Canis lupus familiaris: one gene and its partners. The protein of the gene in region 1 interacts with the protein of each later gene in a pairwise test. Links are inferred from orthologs where the notes say so. Each region holds a gene or a part of one and is shown in the gene's direction. Other genes may lie near its edges.

Region 1 (4,199 bases):
GCAAATCAACCCTTGCATTTAAAGCATCAGGATTCGAAAAACTCAGTGCAATTATGCAAGTCAATATTTTAAGTGAGGCAACTGTACTGGAGGGAGAAATTTCCTTCTTTCCCTGTAGGCTGCTTCTAGCTGGTTTAGGAGTTGAATTCATAGGAGACAGGTGAACAGGAGGTTAAGAAAAAAAGTTTTATTACATGTGCATGGAAGTCCAATAATGAAATTGAGACCCTAAGAAATGACCAAGGCTGGCAGTTTTGATATATTTTAGACAGAGACAAGAAATTCCTGAGGAATTGACAGGACAAAGAAAATAGGGGTTTGGGAGCTTTAGTTAGTAAGGAATTCTGAACAGAATTTGGGCTGAGTGAGGTAGTAGATTAGGAAAAAAAAATAAATAACAAGGCTCATTTCTCCAGCTTTCTCCACTTTAAAGTTCCTATCTCTGGTGATAAGGACGTCTTTTTACTTAGTACAGGGAGGGCATTTTTCACACGGGAAATTTATTTCCTGCTTTCAGTGGGGGACAAAGGAGGATCTGAGTGTACTTGTACCAGGTTGTTTCCTGGGTTGATTCAATTCAAAATAATCAATATGCCAGCGCAGTACATTTGGGGGCAGCTTGCCCTGCGCTCCTACACAACCTGTACCTGAATTCCTTGTTTTTCCATTAAAACAAGTGCAGAGAGGGCTTTTTTTAATTGTACAGCAAATGCAGGTGGTCCTGCAAGTTCGAAACAGGTTTAGGGACCGGTTTATATGAACCTGAGTTAGCTGCTTGGTAATCAACACGGCTTTCGAATCTGGTGGGGCTTCTGGGTGAAGAGCCTGACCTCGTTCCTCTGTCAGACTTAAATAATAAAAATGATGCTAAAAAAAAAAAATTATGTCCTCTTGAACATCGTGTCAGGTCAGTCCCTAGGCCTTTCTCTACTTCCCTTGGGTTCCTGGCAGGAAACATGTGGAGAGGGAGCGGATAAACAGGTTCCCGTTCCCAGCAGCAGCACGTTACAAAAATTTTCCATCTGTTGTCGTGCCCTTGCCTCCGTACAAAAAGTGCGGTTTGAAACACGGTTTCTCTTATCTCCCTTTAAAAGCCTTTTTTCTCAGGCGCTTGCATTCTGGTACAGTGTTGAGCATGCCAAGCTGCTTTTCGCTTTATATCATCATGTGACGCCGCCTCTCCTCCAGCCTTGAGGCTCTTTAAAACAGAATCACAAAATATAGTTACTGAGATTCTAGGAGCGATGGGGGTGGGGTGAGAAGCGAGGACTGCGGAGGGCAACGGACTACACTTCCCACAAGCCCTCGCGCGGCAGCTCCCCTCCCTCCCCCACGCTTCCCACCCGGAGGCTTGCGCTTGCGCGGAAAATCCTGCGCTGAGAGGAGGGGCGGGGACGACACAACGCGCCTGAAAGGGGAGGAGGAAAGAAAGAGACCATAGACTTTCACCTGGGCCTAGAAGGTCTCTTAAAGTAGTGGGGAGAGGAGGGCGGGTGGGGACCACCTTCAGAGCAGGCCGCCGGCGGTATCATGGCGACCCGGAACCCCCCTCCCCAAGGTGAGCGGCCGGGGCCCGAAGTAGTATCTCGGACGTGGCTCACAGCTCTCGACCTTGCCCCCGGGGGCGCCTCTTCTTCCCCTGCCCCAGGGATCCAGGGGCTCTTTTTTGGACGCACCCCTTTAGAACTAGACGCCCTCCTCTTACGGCTGAACTCTGGCGGAGAGCGACCCCCGACCCCAACACAGCCCTGCTTCCTGCCTTACCTTCCCCTCTGGCCCTTCGTTTCCATCTTCAGACGTGCTTTTTGGCATTTCTGATGAATTACTGAAGTAATTTCATCTTGCCAGGCCCCTAACCGCTTCTGTCAGTGGAGGACCCCCTCTTTGTCCCACTGATGAAAATGGATCTCTAGCTCGGGCCCTGACCCGACTGAGATTTGGGGGCGACCGTTTATGCCGTGAAAGTCTGACCTGGCCTTACTGCCATTTGGGGAGGCGACCCCTCACTTCTGTGTAACTCTGACGTGGCTCTGGCTCCGGCCTCTAGGCCGGTCCCTGGGCCTTTGGAAGGGAGATGCTAGGCCCTTTTACTCTTGAGGCCCTAGTCTCAGGTGTGGGGTTTAACAACCTAAGGTTTCCATCTGGGCATTTTTAGCTGTAAGAAAGTAACAGTTAATGACAGATTTTTTAAAAAATGTAAGGACCTTTCTGACTTTTGGTTAACTCTAAATTTATTTTTTCCATTTTGTATTTTGAAGAGTATGAAAGCGATGACGAGTCTTATGAAGTGTTGGATTTAACTGAGTATGCAAGAAGACACCATTGGTGGAATCGAGTGTTTGGCCACAGTTCCGGACCTATGGTTGAAAAATACTCGGTAGCCACCCAGATTGTAATGGGTGGAGTGACTGGCTGGTGAGAACATCTTTTTCATTAGATTTCATTGGCAGCCTTACTGCTGCCCTTCCGTAAACAGGCCAGTTACTGAGCGCATTCAGTGGTTTTACACTGTTAATCCCAGAAGAGCTCTACCTTGAGGCTCTTCTCTGTGATATGATTGGTGTGATCTACAGTCTGGAGACAGTGGTTTTGGTGATTGGCTTCCCCACGCCCACCACTTGTTCCCCTGGTCCCTCTCCCTTCCTTTGATTCTTTACGTACTTTCCACCTTCTCACATTTAGCAAATGTAGTGTATCTGATTCAGTGAGAGTGGGTAAAAAGGAAGATCCATCTGAGGGCTAATTATATGTAAATAATTTTTACTTGTGCAATGCTAACAACTGGAAAGACCTTTGAGGACTCCCACAGTAGAATTGGTCTCTAGGATTGAGAGCTCTGTAGAAAGCCGTGTAAAATTCTCAATGAAAATTATTGTGAATCAAATGGTTCTGTTGATTTTTGTGGACTAATTTGGATTATTATAATACTTTGAAGAAGAGTTGGAATTGAAGGACCAATTGCTTACTCTGTAATAATATTGTGGAATGCATTAAGGAGAAGCAGTTAAGCATTAACCTAACTAACCAATTAATGTTTTGGGCTGCATGATGACATGATTGCTACTGTAGATCAAGTTGTTATTCTTGGAATAAAAGATTAGCCAAATAACAAGGGTCAAACAAGTATGGCCCTTTATCTTGAAAATGTTCATGATCGTGGAGAATTTTTGACGTTTGTGGGAGTGCTTAGCTTGTGAGTAATCATTTTTCTCCCTTAGTTCTAGGTTAAATTTATCTTACATTAAATATTTACATATTTAAACTTGATAAGCATTAAGCTTTTTGATTTGTGTTTTATATGTACCTTAGAACAAGGTTCATTCCTTTATGCCTTTTTGTAAATGCTATTTTATGGTAGAAACATGCATTGTGAAGATTCTGTGATGCAAAGGTACAGTATTTCTTCATGATGTGTGCTTATTAATGCTGCTTATGAAAAGACCTGCAACTAGAAGAGAGATGCCTGGTCAGGGCCCTGGTTATTCAGTTGATCCTCCACAGATAGTTTGTACCTTGATCCTCCATAATGGAGTCTGGTGCTCTGCTCACATAAGCTCACACGTTGGTGCCATGGCTGATTGGTTAATGGGAGTCTGGGCCTAAAGCCCCATCTTAAAAGACACTAAAAGAATAATTAAGCGATAGAATTATCACATTGTGTGCATTCTCCTTGTAGGCCAGACTTGGTGAGAAGCCCCATAATTGGCAGAAGTTTGCTTGGAAAGCCTAGAGACAGAGCAGGGGAAGTTAGTAGTTTAATTTTGATGGCTCATGCTGTTAAGCAAAGGATAGACATGCTTGTGAGACATGGTCTCTGGGATGTACTTGTGACTTGGCTGCTGCTCCCCCCCCCCATCAGAGCCTTTGTTGCTGACTTCCCTACTGGCAGCTGTGGTCTTTATAGTAATACGTATGTTTGGGTTACAGCCAGGTGTCGTCGGCTCAGGAGCTGTGTAATAGGACTCCAATATTACACGGGTGGTTTGTTGCAATGACTTTAGACTCAGTGCAGTAAATTTCTGCAATTTTCTTAAGGTAGAAAACTGATGTACTATCGTGGCATGTGTTAAGGAGGAATGGTTAATAGGCATTAACCTAACCAGTTAACATTGCAGACTCTGAACTCTGTAATAATATTGTGGAATGCATTAAGGAGAAGCATATCAGGTTCAGGATATGCATGGGAGGCTAAAGAGATT
Region 2 (4,122 bases), on another chromosome or scaffold:
ATAGTGAGTGGTGTTGTGCCCAAAATTGCGAATCCGAGAAACCACCAAGGAGCCAACACTGATGCAAACACGCGAGGGTTTATTTACAAGCTCGAGCTTGGGTCCAAGTATACTCTGCAGAGCAGAGCAGAGGCTTGGACCCCGAAGTGGGTTACAGCTGAGTTTTTTATGGGCTGGTCTAGGGGATTTTCAGAAGGGGTGGAGGAATTTTTTTTTTCCTATATGGGGGAAAGGGTGGGGGAGTTTCTCAAGATATGATATGGGATTCCTGCTGAGGGCAATTCTGAGCTCTGTTGTCTCCCATATGGGATTTCCTGCCGAGGACATTCTGCAGTTTTTCCTGTAAAGTTCAGGTCTTATTCCCAGGGGCCTAAGATGGCTGTACTTGTGCTAATGCTAAACTTGAGGTGGAATGGCCTTAATTTTTCTCGGCCTCCACATTGGGGGCTCAATTCATGGATGAATAAAGTATTAGAAATCACAATCCTTAGAAATGACAGAAGAAGAAAAGAGAGGGTTTTTTTTTTCTATATGTCTATTTTTCTATCTATATATGAGATGCTGGATGTTAACTAAACTTATTGCAGCAATCATTTCCCGATCTATGTGAGTCAAATCATTATGCTGTATAACTTTGACTTATATAATGATGTATGTCATTATATATATAACATATATAATGAGATATATCTCAACAAAATTTATACATGTATACAACATATATATAATGAGATATGATTATATCTCAACAAAATTGGGGGAAATCTTTTTAAAAAGAAAAAAGAAGGTTAGGGCAGACAAGACACCCATATATTTCACCAGGCTGCGCCGTTATAGTTAAGACATGAAACTACTGTTATGTTAAGTGGTTGGCACCACACCGACTTGGGTTTAATTCATCATGTGTGTAATGTTCCAAGCGTGTGTCAGGTCACCTTAATTGTCATGACTCCAGGTATCTATCCCTGTTAAGAAGGATCATAAAGCTGAAAACCGAGGACAGCTCCACCGACTTAGTGAAGCCAGGAGGCTCCCGGGAGGGCAGCCGCCCTGGGCCAGGGGTTGCCACCTTGGACTTGCTGCCAGGCGCACCACTGCCCGCGGGCCTCTCTGATCTGCGCGGTGACGGGAGCCCAGGCCGAGGAAGAGATCACGAGCGTCTGCGGAGCGCGGGGCTGGGGTCCCGGAGGAGGGGGGGCGGTGCCGGGTGTCCGCGGGCGGGCGCGGGGGCGGGCGCGGGGGCGGGCGCGGGGGGCGGGCGCGGGGGCGGCGCCGGGCTCGCATTGGCCCAGCGGGCGCCCCTCCTCGGGCCGGCGGGCGGGCAGCGGGGGCCGCGGGGGAGGCGGCATCGCCCGCCCAGCGCCGGAGGCGCCTGCGACCTCCGCGCCCGGGAGCCATGGCCGAGTACACGCGGCTGCGCAACTGCCTGGCGCTGATCCGCCTCCGAAACCCGCCGGTCAACGCCATCAGGTAACGGCTCGGGCGCCCCCAGCCCGGCCCGGCCCGGCGGGCAGCCCTCCCGGCGGGGCTCGACTCCGCGGCGGGTGTAGACGCCGGAAGCCACGGGCACGGATGGAACCGCGGCGCCTGCCAGGCTTCGAGCTTGGGTCAGCTCGGTTAGCGTTCGCGGCGAACTCCGATCCGTGTTTCGCTGGTGTGGAAAGGCAGCTGAGGCTCAGAGGCAGGAGAGCGGGGACGTGGGGCAGCTGGGCTCGAACCCGGGCCGTCGGCGCCGGCTGCGTGCTCCACCCGTGGGCTGGCGGGCAGCGCTGACTTCTCGGGCGCGCTCGACTCCAAAGGCACAGAGCCAGCGGGACCTTGATCCCTCCTCACTTCCCAGACTCGAGTCCGGGCCACCCTAATGTGTGGCCGAATGATCTAGAAATTCCCACTTGTAAATAAGTAAATGCCCCTCATTAATGCCCAGGCAGTGAGGACAGGCGAATTGCGGCATGGTGCAGAAATGCAAAGTTCTTCTCCTGGTCTGTTCTAGACTCGGAGGCGTTGGTGCTTCAGTGGAGGATACGTTGGTTTGGAGAAGCCCACTAAGTAGCATTTCCTGAAAAACGACTGTGCAGTTTATCTTCTTTTATTTCACCGTGGAGCACCTTCCTTGTTAAACCGCACACGGATTTGTTCCGTGCACTTAACAGCAGTGCTTTCCAGACTGGTTGTTTTTCCGGTTTCAATTTTTTTTTTTTTTAAGATTTATTTATTTATTCATGAGAGACACACACACACGGAGAGAGAGGCAGAGACACAGGCAGAGGGAGAAGCAGGCCCCATGCAGGGAGCCCAACGCGGGACTCAATCCTGGGTCTCCAGGATCAGGCCCTGGGCCAAAGGCACATGCTCAACCGCTGAGCCACCCAGGCGTCCCTAATTTTAAAAATGTTTAATTATATAGGTTTGGTTCTTGGCATGTCTTTGTAAAAAGGATAGTGATCATCAGCCTAGGAAAGAGCCACCCATCCCCAGAGAGTAGGATTAGCAGAAATTATAATTTACGAGAAATATATAAAACAGGGAAGAAAGACCTTTGATCAACATTTTTATCACATACCGCTGGAGCAAAAAAGAGACAGCAATGAGGAGACCTGCTAATTTTTATCTTAGTGTCATCAGATTTGATTTTATCATGAGTATTAATATAACAATTCATATTTTTAATATAAGCTATTGCACTTAATAATACCAAAAAAGTGCAAGAATAAAATCTCACAAGGATATGTCCACTTTCTTGCCAGTCTCAGAAAAAGAAAGCAAAATATCCATTGTTTTGGTTTTGATGAAGAAAAACATAATATCATTACATATCCCTTTGGGACTTGTCTGTATTTTAGTTAGAGATACTAAATACTAGGACTCTGCCTCAGCCTCTGCTCATAACCAGAAACCATGCCCGACATTAACTTGGTAAAAAGGCTTCACAGTCTAATACCCATAACTAGAAATATTTTCTCATAGGAATTTTAAGCATTTCTCATATTTACTCCGCCCCACCCCCCATGCAACAGAAATGTTTGTATCTACCTCATATCATAACATTGTGGTGAAGTCTACCTCCACTAGAGATCATAAACTGGCATTGCACAGATGTTAGCTACCATCATGGCAAACCCATGCAGCAGGCCCTGCTGCCACCTGGGGTTTATTTCAGCTTCATCGAGTTTTCTCTACTTGGGAATGCTTTCCCATTCTTTCTTCTATCTTCTTCTCAAGTCATATAAATACATTTTTAAAGATTGCAGGGTTTTTTTTAAGATTTTATTTTTAAAAAAGATTTTATTTATTTATTCATGAGAGACACACACACAGAGAGAGAGAGAGAGGCAGAGACACAGGTAGAGGGAGAAGCAGGCTCCATGCAGGGAGCCCAACATGGGACTCGATCCCGGGTCTCCAGGATCACACCCTGGGCTGAAGGTGGCACTAAACTGCTGAGCCACTGGGGCTGCCCAAAGATTGCGTTTTTTATAATCTCTACACCCAATGTGAGTTTTGAACTTACGATCACAAGGTCAAGAGTCACCTGCTTTACTGACTGAGCCAGCCAGGCACCATTCTGAAGTTATATTTACCTCATACGTATCCCTCCATGTTCATCAAAATTAACAGGTTGCCTATTTTTTTCTTTCCTTTCTTAAGATTTTATTTTTTTGTAAAGATTTTATTTATTTATCCATGAGAAACACACACACACACAGAGAGAGAGAGAGAGAGAGAGAGGCAGAGACGCAGGCAGAGGGAGAAGCAGGTTCCATGCAGGGAGCCCGACATGGGACTGGATCCCGGGTCTCCAGGATCAGGCCCTGGGCTGAAGGTGGCACTAAACTGCTGAGCCACTGGGGCTGCCCAAAGATTGCGTTTTTTATAATCTCTACACCCAATGTGAGTTTTGAACTTACGATCACAAGGTCAAGAGTCACCTGTTTACTGACTGAGCCAGCCAGGCACCATTCTGAAGTTATACTTACCTCATACATATCCCTCCATGTTCATCAAAATTAACAGGTTGCCTATTTTTTTCTTTCCTTTCTTAAGATTTTATTTTTTTGTAAAGATTTTATTTATTTATCCATGAGAAACACACACACACACAGAGAGAGAGAGAGAGAGACG
Region 3 (3,963 bases), on another chromosome or scaffold:
CATTTGCACAATGCCTGATACACACACAAAGCTCTAGCTCTGAGTTTTGGAGCGTGGGAAACAGCGTGTGGTATAATAAATAGTTTCCCTGTCTGTGCTCAGACCCTCCTGAATTATAATCTTCAAGGGAGGAATTAGGGGATCTATTTGAAACAAAAACCATGGGTGGAGTCTTAGGATCTGATGAGTTTGGGAAACACCATTTGGGTTAAGCACTGCCATTCTCATCCCAGGGTGATGAGATGATGGAGGTGAAAGTTAAAGGTCATTTGCGAGGTTTGCACTCACTTGTTCAGTCAACAGAAGTTTCCTGAGCGCTCACTGGGTGCCCCACCCTATGTTTGGTGCTGGGGACACTGCAGGAACAAGAAAGACTCAGGCTGCGGGTATGGGCACCTGCGGCGGGTCCCTCACCTCGGTACCATCTGCGTTAACTGGGTAGCGATCAAGGGAATTAGTCTCTGGCCTGCTGGGGGGCCCCAGGGGTGGACGGCCAAGTTGTCTCTCCCCGCAGGTTGTGAGCCCGAGGGCGGGTATTTGAGGGTCAAGGACTGTGGGGCCCGGAGGCCCCTGGGCTCATTGCTGCCTCCTGTCCAGCTCATTTCCTCTCAGGGCCAGATGTCAGAATCTCCCCACGAAGTAGATACTACTGTTCCCATTTTACAGATAAGAAAACAAAGGCTCAGCGGAGAGATGGGTCACATTTGCGCGCTACCCGCGAAAGGCTTCCAGGCCCGTGTGTCTCAGCCTGGCCGCAGGGCCTGATCCTACCTCCAGCGGCGGCTCAACGGCCGCCAGATCTCTCGCCAGACCCGCGCGGTGCGTCGGCCTCCCGGGGGCTCTGGGCCAGAACGCCCCCGAGCAGCCCGGGCCCTGGCCGCCGCCTCGGGCTCCTGGAGGCCGGCCCCCTCGCTCCCGACCCCGCCTAGCCCTACCTGACTCCCAGGCCCCGCGCAAACACAGCGCGCCGCCCCGGGAACTACAACGCCCGTGAGCCTCCGCGGCGCTGGGGAGAGACCGGACGCTCCACGTCGCCGCCAGAGACAACCGCTTTGCCCTCATCAGCACGCGAGGCCCGAGGGCGCTGCGGAAACCTCCCTCCCTCCCCGCCCTCGAGACACCGGCACCTTCCCGGCCTTGTCTTGGGTCCTACGCCCGGAAGTCGTATGATGGCCATGAAGACTGGAGGCTAGAGAGACCCAGACTTGTGCTCTGGGCCTTCACTTCCGCCGGAAGTGACCTCCAGTCCCCCGTGCCCTTCCCTTTCAGCACGCGCGGGCGCCCGGGACCCGGCACTCGGGGCTCGAGTACGACCACCATGGCGGCCACCACCCTGCTGCGCGCGACGCCCCTCTTGAGCGGTGAGGGGGCGGGGAAGGCCATGGCGGCGCGGGGCCACGTGGGGGTTGTCGCGAGCGGCCGGGATCGGACCCGCGCCCTGACTCCCAGCCTCTGCCCCGGCAGGTCTCGGCGCCGGCCCGACCTCCCTGCTGCAGGGTCTGTTGCGGCCGCTGAAGGCCCCAGCCCTGCCCCGCTTATGCCGTGGCCTGGCCGTGGAGGCCAAGAAGACCTATGTGCGCGACAAGCCCCATGTGAACGTGGGCACCATCGGCCATGTGGACCACGGCAAGACCACACTGACCGCGGCCATCACCAAGAGTAAGCGGGGATGGGTCGGGGGCGTCCGGAAGCGCCCGCCCAGCAGGAGAGACCTGGAGCTGGGGAGGTGCTGCTGGAAGTGTTGTGGCCCCAGGAGCCAGAACCCTGCGGGCAGTGGATTGCAAGATGCGGGAAACACATTTCTCCTGAACGTGAAAGATTTTGTGATGCATAAGCTGGGGAGCCGGAATGGCCTCTCTCTTGTCGTGGCCAGTACCCTGTAGGCAGAGGGTGCTTTACCCTAGAGAAGTCGCAGGGCTGGACCATGAGGCCTTGTTACATTTCCCTCTGACCCGAGTTACACCCACTGCAGGAGCTGAGGGTGTGTCATGGACACATTATTCTGGCCGACGGTCCTTTTGTATAGTAGGTGGGAGGGACTCGGTGTGGCTTAAGCCTTGCCTCCTTACCTCTGGTACTTCATCTGAGAGGCTTATTCTTCTCCTTCCCCTTAGTTTTAGCCGAGGGAGGTGGAGCCAAGTTTAAGAAATATGAAGAGATTGACAATGCCCCTGAAGAACGAGCCCGAGGAATCACAATTAACGCGGCTCACGTCGAGTACAGCACTGCTGCCCGCCACTATGCCCACACAGATTGCCCAGGTCATGCAGATTACGTTAAGGTGAGTGTTGCTGGGTACAGGGTCAGGGGCTGTCTCCCACCAGAAAAAATGTTGGACTTGTGGAGAGGTTAGGATATTCAGGGTGCATGGGTTGAGGTCCTGGATTTCTGGGCATAGCCACTCAAAGTGGGTGGTAAGGAGATAGCAGAAAAAGGTGGGCCTCCATTCCTAACTGCTGTGCTTGGTTAGACGGATTTGGAGCTGAGGTGAGGGGGTCCTTGAACTGGGCTGTTGTTTCCTCTCTTCCTACTCAGAATATGATCACAGGCACCGCCCCTCTCGATGGCTGCATCCTGGTGGTGGCGGCCAATGACGGCCCTATGCCCCAGACCCGAGAGCATCTGCTTCTGGCCAGACAGGTACTCAAGAGCCTGGGGAGGGGTGGAAAGAGAAAGAGTGGGAAATTGGGTCCATTCAGGATACTATTTCTCTCTCTTTGCCATCCACAGATTGGAGTAGAGCATGTTGTGGTGTACGTAAACAAAGCAGATGCTGTCCAAGACCCTGAGATGGTGGAGCTGGTTGAGCTGGAGATCCGGGAACTGCTCACTGAGTTTGGCTACAAAGGGGAAGAGACCCCCGTCATCATAGGCTCTGCCCTCTGTGCCCTTGAGGTGAGGGGGGGGGGGAGGGGGTCAGGCAAGGGCTGTTACTGGCATCGGATGGGGCTGGATGGGTGTCCAGAGCTTTGCTTTGAGTCTGGGGAGCATCTCTTAGTAAGAGGAACAGAATGACAATTTCAGAATCCTGTCATCTCCCCCCATAGCAACGAGACCCCGAGCTAGGCGTGAAGTCTGTGCAGAAGCTGCTGGATGCTGTGGACACTTACATCCCAGTACCCACCCGAGACCTGGAGAAGCCTTTCCTGCTGCCTGTAGAGTCCATTTACTCTATTCCTGGTGAGGACCCTGTTCACTTGCACCCTTCTCTAGCTATAGCCTGATCCAGAATACCTGATGTCCTGTCCTATTTTTTTCCAGGCCGGGGCACGGTGGTGACAGGTACACTAGAGCGTGGCATTTTGAAGAAGGGAGATGAGTGTGAGTTCCTGGGACATAGCAAGAACATTCGCACTGTGGTAACAGGTATGGGAAAGATGCCTTGGGACCCAGGGTCTGGCTCCAGGATTTCCCTTGCAGATCCTTTGTGCCTTCCCTCTGCCCTAGACCCTCCTCCCTTGTCTCGCCTCCCTCCTAGGTATTGAAATGTTCCACAAGAGTCTGGAGAGGGCAGAGGCAGGCGACAACCTGGGGGCCCTGGTCCGAGGCTTGAAGCGGGAGGACCTGAGGCGTGGCCTGGTCATGGCTAAGCCAGGATCCATCCAGCCCCACCAGAAGGTGGAGGCACAGGTGAGGGAGGGCTCCCAATGAGGATGGGCAGTGCTGAGCCAAACTGCCCCATGCAGAGGCAGTCTTTCCAACCAAGCATAGCTTCACCCTTGTTCTCTCTCTTGCAGGTTTATATCCTCAGCAAAGAAGAGGGTGGCCGCCATAAGCCTTTTGTGTCCCACTTCATGCCTGTCATGTTCTCCCTGACTTGGGACATGGCCTGTCGGGTTATCTTGCCACCAGGGAAGGTATGGTGGGTACAGGGAATGTGAAGAAGTAGAAGAGACACTCTTCGTTATCAGCTCTATCTACTCACAGTTCCAATTATGTGACAACATGGGTGACTTTTCCTTG
Region 4 (4,117 bases), on another chromosome or scaffold:
CATGAAAATGTTTAATCCCCAATACAGTTAAGGGGAAGTGAAATTCTAGTAGCTAAATCAAATTAAAGCACCATGCCACACTATGGGTACCTTTTTGGCAACGGGAACGCCTAGGCTCCCCTTTGCTTCATTTTAGTGAGCTGAAGAAGAAAAAAATCCAAACCTTTATATTCATTTCCTAAGTTCCTAGAATGCCAGAATTCTGACACATACGATTGTATTATTTATTTGTCAAAGAGGACTCCGAATCTCACTGAAAACCGCAAAGGAAACCAACAGACCCACACGAATGGTCCCGACAGCCCCACCGAGGAGGAAGTGCAGGGGGGAGTCAGGCTTCGGGTCGCACAGCGCGGCAGTGGCTTCGGCAGAAGAGCCTGCGGGCTCGGTCTGTTCCTTCCGGACCCTCTCCCTGTCCTCCAGCCTCCGGCCGCCGAGCACACGGGAAAGGTGCCCGGATTCCCCGAGCCGAGTTCTCGCCGGGGCTGCCGCACTTTCGGGGGCGCAGCCGTCCGGCAGGGTATGCACACCTGTCCCCCCGGGGGAGGCTGCCGGGGCATCAGCCGAGGCCACCGCTCCCCGGAGCTCGCCAGGAGAACCCGGCTCCGGTTCCCCTCCCGGCAAGGCTGGCTCGACCAACAGTCAACAGGAAGCTCCCGCGCTGGGACAGGATCCCCGGCTCGGAAGGAGGCCAGACGCGAGCGTCTCTGGACGGCGACCAGGCCGGCGAAGAGCGCCTAGTGACGCGCCCCCGGGCTCACGCGGCGGGGCTGAGGTCTCCCCACCAGCGACGAGGGGTGCGGAAGCCTCGTCCCAGAAGGCACGCACTCAAGCCCGTCCTCCCCACGCACACAAAGCCCGAAGCCCTCGGCACGACGGCGCGGGGCAAAGGGAACCCAGAAAGAGGGGGCGGGAGCCTCCCTCACTCCACCTCCCGGGGCCGGTAGTCCGCGGCCGCAGCGGCCGCGCTCCGCCTCCTCACGCCCCCTCAGCCCGCGCCGCCTCGGGAATCCGCCCCGGACCCCGCCGCCATGTTGGGTCCGGATAAGTGACCCGGACTCGCGGCCGACCGGGACGGCGTGCGGGGGGGGGGGGAGGGGGACGGCCCGCGGCCCACAGCCGCCGAGCGCGCCGGCGCCGGAAGGCGGGGGGCGCGGCGTGAGTTCCGGTGAGCGGGCCGGCCGCGCGCGCAGGTAGCCGCCCCCCCGCCCCCGCCCCCGCCCCCGCCCCCGCCCCCGCCCCGCCCCCGCCGCGGAGGGGCGGAGCCGGGAGTGAGGGCGGGCGCCGCGCGGAGTGGAGGTGGAGAGTGAGGCCGAAGGGTGGGGGAGCCCGGGAATTCCCTCCTCCTGAAGCGGCGAGTGCGGGGCGGCTGTGCCGTCGTCGCTGCGGCCGGGCGCTCGGGACGAGGAGGTGGAGGAGGGAGAGGGCCCCGCGGGCCTCGCCTCCGCCCACCGCCCCCTCCTCGCCGCCCCGGGCCGCGGTAGCGGCGACTCATGAGAGCGCGGCTGGAGGGCAGGTAAGGACCCGGCTGGGCCCCCCCGGGCGGAGGCGGCCGACCCCGGCCCGGGCAGCGCTAGGCCCCGGCGCCCGCCCGCCCGCGCGCCCCCGCGCCCGCGCCCCGAGGCGCCGGCGCTCCCCGCCCCGGCAGGCTCGGAGTCGGGAAGTTGGGGAGAAAGTTCTCCCCTCCCCCGTCCCGGCCGGCCCGGCGGGCGTGTCTCCTTCCCGGCGCTACCTGCTCGCCCCCCTGACTCGGTCTCCGCCCCGTCCCGTCGTTCCCGGGCCCGCCCAGGTCCGACCGCAGGTCCTGGGAGCGGTGCGCTACCTCCCGGCGGTGCCCGGGGGCGAGGTCGCTGGTGGCTCCCGCGGCCGCCGGCGGGGCCGGGAGCCGCAGCCCGGTTCTGTCCCGGAGCCGGAGGGTCCCCGTGGTAAGACGCCGGGTGGCAACTGTGCTGGGAGAGCGGACGTGGGCGTGTGTGGGGGCGAGGGGGGGAGCCTCTCGCTTTGCTTGGTTTGATTGAAAACCGCAACATGTTTAAAGTTTTCCTTTGTTTTGGGTTGGGGGTTGGGAAGGATGCCATTCAGCGTCCGCTCTTACAGTGTTCTGCCGCTCCACCTCCCATTGGGTTCGCTTCTCTGTCCACATGGTGCAGGAAATTTTGGTTTAAAGTGTGTTTTCCTTCTTGGTAATCGCTTCCAGCTTTTGCTTCATTGGGCATGGGGTTAGCGTCGTTTTCGGAAGCCCTTTGGAAACCAAGTCCGGTGTAGGGATGGATGGCTTTGATTTTTGCCTTCTGATGAGTGGCAAATAAGTCCAGGGCAGGGACTGCTTTAATTTTTGTTTTGTGGTGGGTGGGACACAGCATAGTTCGGATTTGGTTGAATTACTTTCTGCGTGATTAGTTGAAACAGGCGTGGAATAACCCACGGTCTAGCAATCTATAAATCGTTAAGGAAACGAGACGTCTCTAGTGGAATCGCAACTTGATGTTCATGCCATTAGGTACGTGTGTTTCATGGTGTGCTTTCACATACATGATTTGACATGTACATGCATAAGATTGTGGTATACGTGTGTCTTCATAACTCTAGGATTGCGGTGCCAACGGTATCTCGATAATTCTGAGTATTTGTGAAACATCCTGGTAAATGTCTAAAGTTACGGACTAAGGAAGATACTACTAAATGGGTACATGTGACTGTGTACTTAAAGCATAGTACCTGGTGAATCTAATAACTAGGGCAGTGGCTCACGGTGGACAGAAAACATTTTGAATGGGCAGGTAACGAAGGAGTGTCATGTAGGAGAACGAGGATTTTGTGTGCGTCACACGTATATATATATATATTTCGTACATTCTGTAAGAAAGTTTTATTTCACTTCAGTCATACATCTGCTTTGTTTTACTGATATGTGAGACCACTGTCATCGTTGACATTTAAGAAAAGGAAGTCTAATTATTGTAAATTTTGGACATTACCCAAACCTCAGTGGCGATTTTGAATGCTGGTTGACCAATTCATAGGGTCTTAAGATTGAAAAATAAAACGAAACACTTGCCTTTGATTCGAATCTAAATACAAGACCATTCGTATCCATGTTTCCAGAATAAAAGAAAAAAAAGCTTTTAAAATATGTACTCTCGTATAACCACCATAACGTTATAATAGCTTTTAATTTTGCAGTATGTTTTTGCTGACTTCATAAACCACAAAATTGACTCCTTTCTAGTCTACTGAAAGCGAAATTATGACTTTGACCCGTCTTCCTGCGATAGGTGGAATTTGTCTTATGACTGAAGTATAATATTAATATATGGGTGGAGTTTTCTTTTTTTTTAATTCAGGAAAATCTCAAGCTAAAAAAAATCAATGTCCATGCAAATAGATCTCCTTCATGATATGTAATGTTGAAAGAATAAATGTTACAGGCTAATAGCAACAATGCAGTATTAAGTGAAATATTACCAACCTGTGGTATAAGGTTTATTTATACAAAGTCCAAATTTGCATCTTTTTAGGCAGTAAATTTGTTAACGTGAGTAATTTTTCTTTATAAACGTGTTTAACTCGATGTAGTGTTCAGTGTAGTTGTCATTTATCCTTTTAGCATTATATTAAAAAGAGGTACAAACTTAGTTACAAAATAGGTCAGAAGAATGTAAGGTACAGCATAGGGAATATAGTCAATATTCTTGTAATAACTTTGTATGGTGACAGGTGGTAATTAGACTTAGGAGGGAATTGTTTCATAATATAGAAAATATCAAATCACTATGATGTACAGTTGAAGCTCGTAGGATGTTGTATGTCATTTGTACTTCAATTTTAAAAAGCACCTAATATCAAAAAGCACTACTAAGCTCTGGTATCTGGGAATACAAACTTGGGAAATAAAAGTATAATTAAAAAAAAAAAACCTGCAAGGAAGTGATTTCTGTACAAGTAAAGATATGGGAGGTGGGAGGAAGTTGTGATTGGGACCCAGATTCTGTAGTGGTTACAAAGTTTTAACCTGCTGGTGGTTCCAATGGTTTTTTTTTTTTTTTTTTTTTTTTTTAAGAAGACTGTGTAATGTACTATATAAGGTGCTTGGGTAAAGAACTTAACATTTAGTGAC

What was found.
Region 2: the proteins of FUNDC1 (region 1) and EHHADH interact in binary tests that used the Homo sapiens proteins (3 or more experiments, as listed by UniProt). The two-hybrid records come from large-scale screens. The link is inferred for Canis lupus familiaris from reciprocal best matches to the Homo sapiens genes FUNDC1 and EHHADH.
Region 3: the proteins of FUNDC1 (region 1) and TUFM interact in binary tests that used the Homo sapiens proteins (3 or more experiments, as listed by UniProt). The two-hybrid records come from large-scale screens. The link is inferred for Canis lupus familiaris from reciprocal best matches to the Homo sapiens genes FUNDC1 and TUFM.
Region 4: the proteins of FUNDC1 (region 1) and YES1 interact in binary tests that used the Homo sapiens proteins (3 or more experiments, as listed by UniProt). The two-hybrid records come from large-scale screens. The link is inferred for Canis lupus familiaris from reciprocal best matches to the Homo sapiens genes FUNDC1 and YES1.

The regions. Positions count from the first base shown.
Region 1 is NC_049260.1:38,703,805-38,708,003, reverse strand, and holds the start of FUNDC1 (FUN14 domain-containing protein 1), read left to right. Parts: upstream 1-1,399; 5' UTR 1,400-1,530; coding exon 1,531-1,558; intron 1,559-2,258; coding exon 2,259-2,415; intron 2,416-4,199. UniProt on the Homo sapiens protein: Integral mitochondrial outer-membrane protein that mediates the formation of mitochondria-associated endoplasmic reticulum membranes (MAMs).
Region 2 is NC_049255.1:18,237,378-18,241,499, reverse strand, and holds the start of EHHADH (peroxisomal bifunctional enzyme), read left to right. Parts: upstream 1-1,322; 5' UTR 1,323-1,396; coding exon 1,397-1,470; intron 1,471-4,122. UniProt on the Homo sapiens protein: Peroxisomal trifunctional enzyme possessing 2-enoyl-CoA hydratase, 3-hydroxyacyl-CoA dehydrogenase, and delta 3, delta 2-enoyl-CoA isomerase activities. Catalyzes two of the four reactions of the long chain fatty acids peroxisomal beta-oxidation pathway.
Region 3 is NC_049227.1:18,524,284-18,528,246, reverse strand, and holds the start of TUFM (elongation factor Tu, mitochondrial), read left to right. Parts: upstream 1-1,163; 5' UTR 1,164-1,318; coding exon 1,319-1,361; intron 1,362-1,464; coding exon 1,465-1,659; intron 1,660-2,114; coding exon 2,115-2,281; intron 2,282-2,535; coding exon 2,536-2,640; intron 2,641-2,730; coding exon 2,731-2,895; intron 2,896-3,047; coding exon 3,048-3,180; intron 3,181-3,261; coding exon 3,262-3,366; intron 3,367-3,478; coding exon 3,479-3,630; intron 3,631-3,737; coding exon 3,738-3,857; intron 3,858-3,963. UniProt on the Homo sapiens protein: GTP hydrolase that promotes the GTP-dependent binding of aminoacyl-tRNA to the A-site of ribosomes during protein biosynthesis. Also plays a role in the regulation of autophagy and innate immunity.
Region 4 is NC_049228.1:67,651,986-67,656,102, reverse strand, and holds the start of YES1 (tyrosine-protein kinase Yes), read left to right. Parts: upstream 1-1,317; 5' UTR 1,318-1,516; intron 1,517-4,117. UniProt on the Homo sapiens protein: Non-receptor protein tyrosine kinase that is involved in the regulation of cell growth and survival, apoptosis, cell-cell adhesion, cytoskeleton remodeling, and differentiation.